2 linked regions of the Arabidopsis thaliana genome follow. The protein of the gene in region 1 interacts with the protein of each later gene in a pairwise test. Each region holds a gene or a part of one and is shown in the gene's direction. Other genes may lie near its edges.

The links.
Region 2: the proteins of CNGC18 (region 1) and BETA-TIP interact in a protein complementation assay, tested with the Arabidopsis thaliana proteins (one large-scale study listed by BioGRID).

The regions. Positions count from the first base shown.
Region 1 is NC_003076.8:4,807,556-4,812,743, reverse strand, and holds CNGC18 (cyclic nucleotide-gated channel 18), read left to right. Parts: upstream 1-1,650; 5' UTR 1,651-1,846; coding exon 1,847-2,311; intron 2,312-2,472; coding exon 2,473-2,685; intron 2,686-2,769; coding exon 2,770-3,080; intron 3,081-3,156; coding exon 3,157-3,268; intron 3,269-3,371; coding exon 3,372-3,608; intron 3,609-3,693; coding exon 3,694-4,476; 3' UTR 4,477-4,653; downstream 4,654-5,188. Other genes in the region: AT5G14860 (UDP-Glycosyltransferase superfamily protein), read right to left, coding at 4,985-5,176. UniProt on the Arabidopsis thaliana protein: Cyclic nucleotide-gated ion channel required for directional pollen tube growth into the transmitting tract. Acts as a Ca(2+)-permeable divalent cation-selective channel inhibited by either lanthanum or gadolinium.
Region 2 is NC_003070.9:6,128,036-6,132,177, forward strand, and holds BETA-TIP (beta-tonoplast intrinsic protein), read left to right. Parts: upstream 1-1,989; 5' UTR 1,990-2,173; coding exon 2,174-2,315; intron 2,316-2,615; coding exon 2,616-2,881; intron 2,882-3,011; coding exon 3,012-3,407; 3' UTR 3,408-3,592; downstream 3,593-4,142. Other genes in the region: ENODL22 (early nodulin-like protein 22), read left to right, coding at 793-1,003, 1,145-1,356; AT1G17820 (testis-expressed sequence 2-like protein (DUF2404)), read right to left, coding at 3,716-4,142. UniProt on the Arabidopsis thaliana protein: Aquaporins facilitate the transport of water and small neutral solutes across cell membranes.

The DNA.
Region 1 (5,188 bases):
GTGTTTCATAAACACCAGCGACTTTATTGAAAAGAGGAACACGTAAATTGTATTCTCAAAGAACAATTTTTTTAGGAAGAGTAACATTTGTTTTCCTTATCTTAATATAAGCAACGAAATCAATCGTGCATATAAAAGTGAAATGCTATTTTGAATTTTCTAAACTTGACTAGCAAATTTTCACTAAAAAATAAAATTAAAAAGTAACGATAAAGTAGTTGTCGTATAGTCTACTCCACATGAATAAAATAATAAAGTAAATCAATAGAATGTAAATCTCTTAATTAATCATACTTATTATATAATCACAGTGGCAAAGTGGAATAAAAAAAAAAGAGGAGAATTGGATCCCGTCGGATTCTATATTTAAAGATCGCTAAACATCTCAAATCTGCCACACGTGGTCATACTTAATAGCAGCCATTAACGAAGTAATAAATTAGTCGATAATAATGTTTAACCAACATCGTATTTCTAGATCCATGAATTAGTTGGAGTAATTAACATCATTGTTTCTTAATTACGTTTAACAAGCATAGAGAAAACAATATTGTCACATATGTTAGTATAAGTTATCATAATCATTTATAAAAGCTTGTTATTAATTTTTTATATTGAAATTACTACTTTGTGTCTAATCGGAAAATGATGGAGTACTAAAATTTGAAGGACTAAAATACGTCATTATTGTTAGAGAAAACAATTACGCATAAGTGTGATTTTTTGGAAGTGGAAAAGTTAGTATGTCCCTCTATATGATATGATGGAAGTTGTTGTTCTTTTTGTGTGGATAAACATCATTTTTCCGTGACGTAATTTTTAATTTCAGTATTCATTTTATTATTCTCACTTCTTATTATCCCTTTTATATTCGCATAATTGTTTCTAAGGATTTCTATTCCCTTTTTGTTATTTTATAGGTACACTATCTTATGGATGGTGTCAACAAGCATGTACACTATCTTCCCACTACCACATATTGTCACAGAATGTTTGGTACGCGTGCTTCTATATACTTTTAATAGTACATAACAACAACAAATGAATTATGTAAGACAATTTGTTAAACTGATGTCAAAAACGGAAATACTACAAAAGACAGTATAATTGAATTACGGGTTTAATGTGTTGACAAAATATAATAAATGTAGCTCATAAAACTTCAATAATTCACTTAAATAAATTCTAATGAACCTCATAACGAATTAGATATTTTAACTAATCTTATCATGGTTTTACGAATTAATTATAATTTTTTTTTTTATTCTTTGAACAATTGAACTAAACAATATTAAACCGGACTTTAAGTTAAAACTACTAAAAACATTATTAGTTTATCAATAGAAATGATCATAGCAATTGTATACATTATAATGTGTAATTTTAAAATCCTAAAGCATATATAGTATATATCCCTTTGATTTTCATAGAAAAAAAGTAGAAAAAAATAACTATTGGGCCGATCTATAACTATTGGGCCGGTGGGTCCAACAACTAAGAACAGTAGATATTGTGTCGATTGAAGTTTTGAGATGCAAAACGTGTGCTGTTTTGAGAACACAAAAACAGCATAAACAAACGAGACCCGCAACTATAACATTCCGTAAATACCCTCATTCTCCCATCATATTTTCAAAAACTACCCTTCCCCCTATTTCCATGGCCCTTCTCTCAGTTTTCCCGCGAGAAATCCTCTCCTTCTTCCATAATCATCAAAAACAAAATGCAAAAACCCAAAAAAACAAAAAATCACACGACGCAACCACCTAGCCTCTCTGTCCATCAATCTCAATCTCTCTCTGTGTTAATGCGGAATCCGATTTAACACCGGAATCCGCCATGGAAGATGAATAAAATCCGGTCTCTCCGCTGCCTCCTCCCGGAGACCATAACCTCCGCCTCCACCGCCGCCTCAAATCGAGGATCTGACGGTAGCCAATTCAGCGTCCTATGGCGGCATCAGATCCTGGACCCGGACAGCAACATCGTCACCTATTGGAACCACGTCTTTCTCATTACCTCAATCCTCGCTCTCTTCCTCGATCCTTTCTATTTCTACGTCCCTTACGTCGGTGGTCCGGCGTGTCTCTCCATCGACATCAGCCTCGCCGCTACTGTCACTTTCTTCCGTACAGTCGCCGATATCTTCCACCTCTTGCACATTTTCATGAAATTCAGAACTGCGTTCGTCGCGAGGAGTTCTCGTGTTTTTGGTCGCGGTGAGCTTGTTATGGATTCTAGAGAGATTGCTATGAGATACTTGAAGACAGATTTCCTCATTGATGTCGCCGCCATGCTTCCCCTTCCTCAGGTTCTTAAGATTTTGCTCTTATTTTGAATGTGAAAGCAATGATATGGATTACGATTAGCTAAGATCAATGTTCAAAAATCGTTAGGCGGTAGCTAGAAGATTAAAGAACAGAGATATTTTGGGAGCCTCATGCTTTGTTTCTGACTATCTTTTGATCTCAGCTTGTTATTTGGCTAGTAATTCCAGCGGCCACAAATGGAACTGCTAATCATGCCAATAGCACTCTCGCACTTATCGTTCTTGTTCAATACATTCCAAGATCATTCATCATATTCCCACTCAACCAAAGGATTATCAAAACAACCGGGTTTATCGCCAAGACTGCTTGGGCAGGAGCTGCATACAACCTCCTATTGTACATCCTTGCTAGTCACGTAAGTTTTCTTTATCTTGTGTGTTTTTTCAAATCTTTAGGTTTCTTCAGTTTTAAGTTGCTAAGAATCTCTATTTGTGGGCAGGTGTTAGGAGCAATGTGGTATCTGTCATCAATCGGGCGGCAGTTTTCGTGCTGGTCCAACGTATGCAAGAAAGACAACGCTTTGAGAGTTTTGGATTGTCTTCCTAGCTTCTTGGATTGCAAGAGTTTAGAACAACCAGAGCGCCAGTATTGGCAGAACGTTACTCAGGTCCTTTCTCATTGTGATGCTACAAGCAGCACTACCAATTTCAAATTCGGAATGTTTGCTGAAGCCTTTACCACTCAAGTTGCTACAACAGATTTTGTGTCCAAGTACTTGTATTGTCTTTGGTGGGGTTTAAGAAATCTAAGGTATGACAACCTTTTATCTAACCAGTATCTGCTTAAATTGTCCTCCTTTGGTTTTAATAAAGGTTTTGTTTCACAGTTCTTATGGACAGAATATAACCACAAGTGTATACCTTGGCGAGACCTTGTTCTGTATAACAATTTGTATTTTTGGGTTGATTCTCTTCACACTCCTGATTGGTAACATGCAAGTAAGATTCAGAGCTTATGCATCACTCTGCAAAACTTTTCAATACAGAGACATTTTTTTGTCTTTCTAACAATAGACTTCATGATTTTTAATTTGGTGGAAAGTCTTCTCTGCAATCGATGTCAGTAAGAGTTGAGGAATGGAGAGTTAAGAGAAGAGACACTGAAGAATGGATGAGACATCGTCAACTACCTCCAGAGCTTCAAGAACGTGTCCGAAGATTTGTCCAATACAAATGGCTTGCAACCAGAGGTGTCGATGAAGAATCAATCCTCCATTCATTACCTACAGATTTACGCCGTGAAATCCAACGTCATCTTTGTCTCTCCCTTGTTCGCCGGGTACATACATCAACTCAGTCATCAAAAACTGTTATGGATTTGATTGTTTTTCAATTCAGAAGTCACATTGTTGTGGTAAGTGCAGGTCCCGTTCTTCTCTCAAATGGATGATCAACTTCTTGATGCTATATGCGGATGCCTTGTCTCATCTTTAAGCACGGCCGGGACATACATATTCCGTGAAGGTGATCCGGTGAATGAGATGCTATTTGTGATCCGAGGACAAATAGAGAGCTCAACAACAAATGGAGGAAGATCTGGTTTCTTCAACTCCACTACTCTACGACCTGGCGATTTCTGTGGGGAAGAACTTCTTACATGGGCCTTAATGCCAAACTCTACACTCAATCTTCCGTCTTCAACACGAAGCGTCCGTGCCCTCTCTGAAGTAGAAGCCTTTGCATTAAGCGCAGAGGATCTTAAGTTTGTTGCTCATCAGTTCAAACGTCTTCAAAGCAAAAAGCTTCAACACGCTTTCAGGTACTACTCACATCAATGGAGAGCATGGGGAGCATGTTTTGTCCAATCTGCATGGAGAAGATACAAGCGAAGAAAGCTTGCGAAAGAGCTCAGCCTTCACGAGAGTAGCGGATACTATTACCCGGATGAAACAGGTTACAATGAAGAAGACGAAGAAACTAGAGAGTATTACTATGGAAGTGACGAGGAAGGCGGATCAATGGACAACACAAATCTGGGAGCAACGATCTTAGCATCTAAATTTGCGGCGAACACGAGAAGAGGAACAAATCAAAAGGCTTCAAGTAGTAGTACTGGTAAGAAAGATGGATCTTCCACCAGTTTGAAGATGCCTCAACTATTCAAACCAGATGAGCCTGATTTCTCTATAGATAAAGAAGACGTTTAAAGTGTAGTCATTATGGGCAAAAAACTTTTGTGTGAACTGTTTGGTTTTAGATGGTAAATAGTTAGGAAACTCCCTTAATTATTTCAACTTGTAATTTTTCTTTTCTTTTCGTTTCGGTTTGAGGATGTTAGATATAGAAAACGAGTGTAGAGTAAAAATACATTGTTCTTAAACTGTCTCAATGTTATATAGTCTGATTTCTTCTCATAGTAGATACTACTTTTGCATACAAACTCATTTTTAAGTCTTTCAGAAGAACACTAAGGTGTTGATAGCTTCTTCGGATTGACCAGCCAATATTAACCTCAAAGATAGCAAAAATCTCATAAAGCAACCACTGAATGCAATTGAAATTTTTTGAAACTATAAGACCAAAACCAAGAATTAGAACTCCAAATTAGTCATTCATATCCAATTGAGAAGAATGGACCAACTTTTCAACAAACCTAACATATTTAATGACTAAAATTAGGTACGAAGCCGTTTTGTTATCCAATCCTTAATCTCTCTAAGCATCAGAACTTGACAACTTATTAACACCGTCTGGCTCTCTACTCTTACAAAGCTCTTCCAGAAGCGAATCCAAACTCTTCCAAGACGAACCAGTCCCTTGAGCCATAGCTTTTTTCGCCATTTTCGCATACTCTTTTACATTCTTCATCGTTGTCTTCCCCATCTCTCCCTCCATCAATTGTTTAACCTAAATAGTACA
Region 2 (4,142 bases), on another chromosome or scaffold:
TCCTTACATTCCAAGTAAACAATCTATCTCTTGTAGTTAAACGGTTATGAGTTATTAGCCAAATTAGAAATTAAAAGAGTATTTTGGTGTGGCGTGCGAGAACCAGATACCTTCATACCTTCCTTATTTGGTTTTTGCTCCCGTGTTGCTTCCCATGTGTCTTTGGTGTTGAATGTGGCCTGAAATCGATCATCTTTACCTCTCCAAAGAACTACATCCTCTGTTTCGACTAGCCCTTTGGACCAAAGCTCCTCTATTAAATCCTCCGATCCATTTGGTTTAAATGTACGACTCGATGCCTTCTCCGTTTATGCGTTAGTAGTACTTCGTAAATGTTCCTTTTACGTGACGTCTAACTGCAAACCAATTCGTATTATCTCTATCTAGAATTATTTTTTTCAAAAATATACAAGGTGTACTATATAATATGATATTCATTCATATGATGATATGACAACACTATCATTTTCAATATTTACATTTCTTCCATAACCGCAAGCTAGCATGACTCAATCAAGTCAATTCAAAAGGAAATCTACGAATTTATTGAATTTGTTTCTATTTCTGGCAACTGATAAAAATAGTCATACGTATATATAAAGTCTTATTACTAGTTCACCAAATTAAAACCATGCACCCATTGACCAAAAAGCTCTTCCATAACCAGGTATACATTGCATGGAAATGTATTGATCTTTTTCAAATTCAAGAATAGTCTATATATATATATATATATTAATAATTAGGTGTTGAACAATTCACAAAACTAAAACCTTTGACCTATTAACACAAATGGCTCAATCATCTGGACACGTTTCTTATGTGGCGGTTACGGTTCCAATAGCTATTGTCATGACAGTGTTGTGCTTGTTTCTAGCCAACGCCGTGACCTATGCCCGGAGACCGACCACCTACATTGTGGGAGGCGACGATGGTTGGGATCCGGTTGTTCCGATGGACACTTGGGCACGAGGCAAAACCTTTTATGCTGGTGATATTCTCGGTATGTATCAATGATCTTAAAAAAAATCTTGGTACGGTAGTGTGATTGATAAACCATATCCATCATACTTTAATATTGGCTTAACTTTAATCTGCTAAGACAATAAATTTATATTGGTATATTCATGGTGATACATTGCAGAATTCAAATACGATTATCAGAGATTTAATTTGATTGTGGTAAACCGAACTGGTTATGAAACTTGTGAAGCGAACGTTGGAGCGATAGAATATTCGTCCGGAGACGATAAGATCCAGCTTAATTACGGTTATAATTATTTCATCGGAACATATACTCCCGAGGATTGTACCACCGGTTTAAAAATGGCCATCAAAGCATTGGCTCCAAGATAAATTAAATGAAGCAACTTATTATAACAATGATAAGTGGAATGATTAGTGTTTTCGTACGTAGTGTTGGAGTTATTTGTAACAGTTTAAAATGTTAGATTAATAAATATCTTATTAAAATTCATTTGCGTTTTAATTAGTAGCTTTTCACTTTATAAATAATCTAATGATATCTAGTTTATGTGCTCAAAACGTAAATATTCTTAGGTTATATATTTTCTGTTCTAAAATAAAATCTAATGATGTAGAATCTCGTTCTTTGTAATCAACAAAAGTGAAATATTTATAACAAGTTCTTAGATTGAATCTGTCTTAAATTATCAAACTAAAGCAAGTTTTAGTCTCTCTTTTTTTTCTTTCATAATATTCGTTCTTACCAAAAACTTGTAATAAATATCATGGGATCGATATTTTGACTCTACGATCTCACATGGAAAGACAAAATAAATGACGAGGAAAACAGAAACCGGATCAAGATTCAGAGAATTGTGACTTGATCCACTTGGCACACATGCATAGATATATAGTCACAGCATGGATAGTAGTATACATACACATTTACACAGTACCATTGTTATGTATATATTGAATCTTAATAAAGGAACTGTCCAGATTGAATGATCAGGTAAGATCAAGGAATAGATAGACACGAACAGGATCCACGTGTTCAGCTTCAGACACTCTCATATCACATCTGTCTCCTAATTGCTTCCACTTTGCTTCTTTTAAGCTCTCTCTCTTCAAGTCTTCTTCTCTTGCCTTTTCTTCCTTCTTCTTTATCCATTAAGGTTTGATCCTCTCACTTAAATTAGGGTTATATATGGCTACATCTGCTAGAAGAGCATATGGATTCGGGAGAGCTGACGAGGCGACTCACCCGGACTCCATTAGAGCCACTTTGGCTGAGTTTCTTTCCACGTTCGTCTTCGTCTTTGCTGGAGAAGGCTCAATCCTCGCTCTAGGTTAGTAGTTTATACATACATAGGGTCATAGGGAATATCCCCCCAAAAATATATACATTTTCAGCTATATACTGTTAGCATCTTTACTTGAGAGAGTATTAGTCAAAACAAACACTAGTACTCTAGTAGTATAGCTCCTACACAAACTTATTTATATAATCAATTTTAGAATTTGTTTTAATAAGGAATGAATATATAAGACTTCCTTTGAATTTAGTTATAGTGAATGTTATCGTTGGAACTATGCATAATCATGCATGCATGTGTGATATGAACTATGTTATATGTGTTATTGGACAGACAAGTTGTATTGGGACACGGCGGCTCACACGGGGACAAACACGCCTGGAGGGTTAGTTCTGGTGGCGTTAGCTCATGCATTGGCCTTGTTCGCGGCTGTTTCTGCAGCCATCAATGTCTCTGGTGGCCACGTCAACCCCGCTGTCACTTTTGCTGCTCTAATCGGAGGCAGGATCTCGGTCATTCGAGCTATCTACTATTGGGTTGCTCAGCTTATAGGTGCTATCCTCGCTTGTCTCTTGTTGAGGCTTGCCACTAATGGCTTGGTATATTACTTCTCATCAATCTCTATATATTACTATTGTCTTTTTGGTACAGTTTTGTGTTGAACCAAGAACTTTGTATATATCTCTGTAAATATATGCTCATGAATGAATGTGATTCTCTGTGATGCAGAGACCAGTAGGTTTCCATGTAGCATCAGGAGTTAGTGAGCTTCATGGGCTACTGATGGAGATCATACTTACATTTGCTTTGGTTTATGTTGTCTACTCGACCGCAATCGATCCAAAGAGGGGGAGTATTGGGATCATAGCGCCACTAGCCATCGGGCTCATAGTTGGGGCAAACATTTTGGTGGGAGGACCTTTCGATGGAGCCTCTATGAATCCGGCTAGAGCCTTTGGTCCAGCATTAGTGGGATGGAGGTGGAGTAACCATTGGATCTATTGGGTTGGACCGTTCATTGGTGGTGCACTCGCCGCACTGATCTATGAGTACATGATCATCCCCAGCGTGAACGAACCTCCTCACCACAGTACCCACCAACCATTGGCTCCGGAAGATTACTAGACCGGAGCAGTCTTCATGTAGAGGGTTCTCTCTTTGTATAAATAGTCTCTGTGTTTGCTTGTGTTGTTTGTCTCTTTACTTGTTTTGTTTTCCTGCCATTTCCTATGTATAATTGAGTCCACACCAAAATCTGTTTTCTTGTATTGTATATCTTACAGAATAATAAAGATTTTCAATGATCGGATAAATATGGGGACATCTATGGCTTTCTCTCACATCTCTGTACATATGTAACAATGCCTAACTTCCTCTGTTTCTATAAATCAGTTTTTGCATCTGAAACCTGCAAAAGCTTCTTCCTTCTCATGTTAAGAAGGTCCTCTCATCTTTTCAACAATCTGTCTACTCTTCTCCTCCATGTGACGCCTCTTCTCCTCCAATTTCTCCCCCATTTTCTTCCCAAGATCCAACATTCTTGCTCTTCTTCCCTGTTTTTTCCCCCTTGAATCATCTTCTTCGCTTGAAGCTACAGACCTAGATGGTGACTGAACAGCAGAAACCTCTCTGCTACTCCCTCTTGAGTTCGTCTCCTGCTTGTTACTGCTGCTGGGTACCAGTAGTGGAGTTTTCAGTTCTTCCAAGGATTTATCATTCTCTATTGTTACAGTTGTGGAGTTTGACAATGGCGTAGACATAATAGCTTCTGCTTCAGTATTCTGTTTCTGGAAAGCAGTGGCCGCTTTCTGCACTTGCTCAGACTGAGCACAGGAGGAAGAAGCCAATGTCCCTATTTCA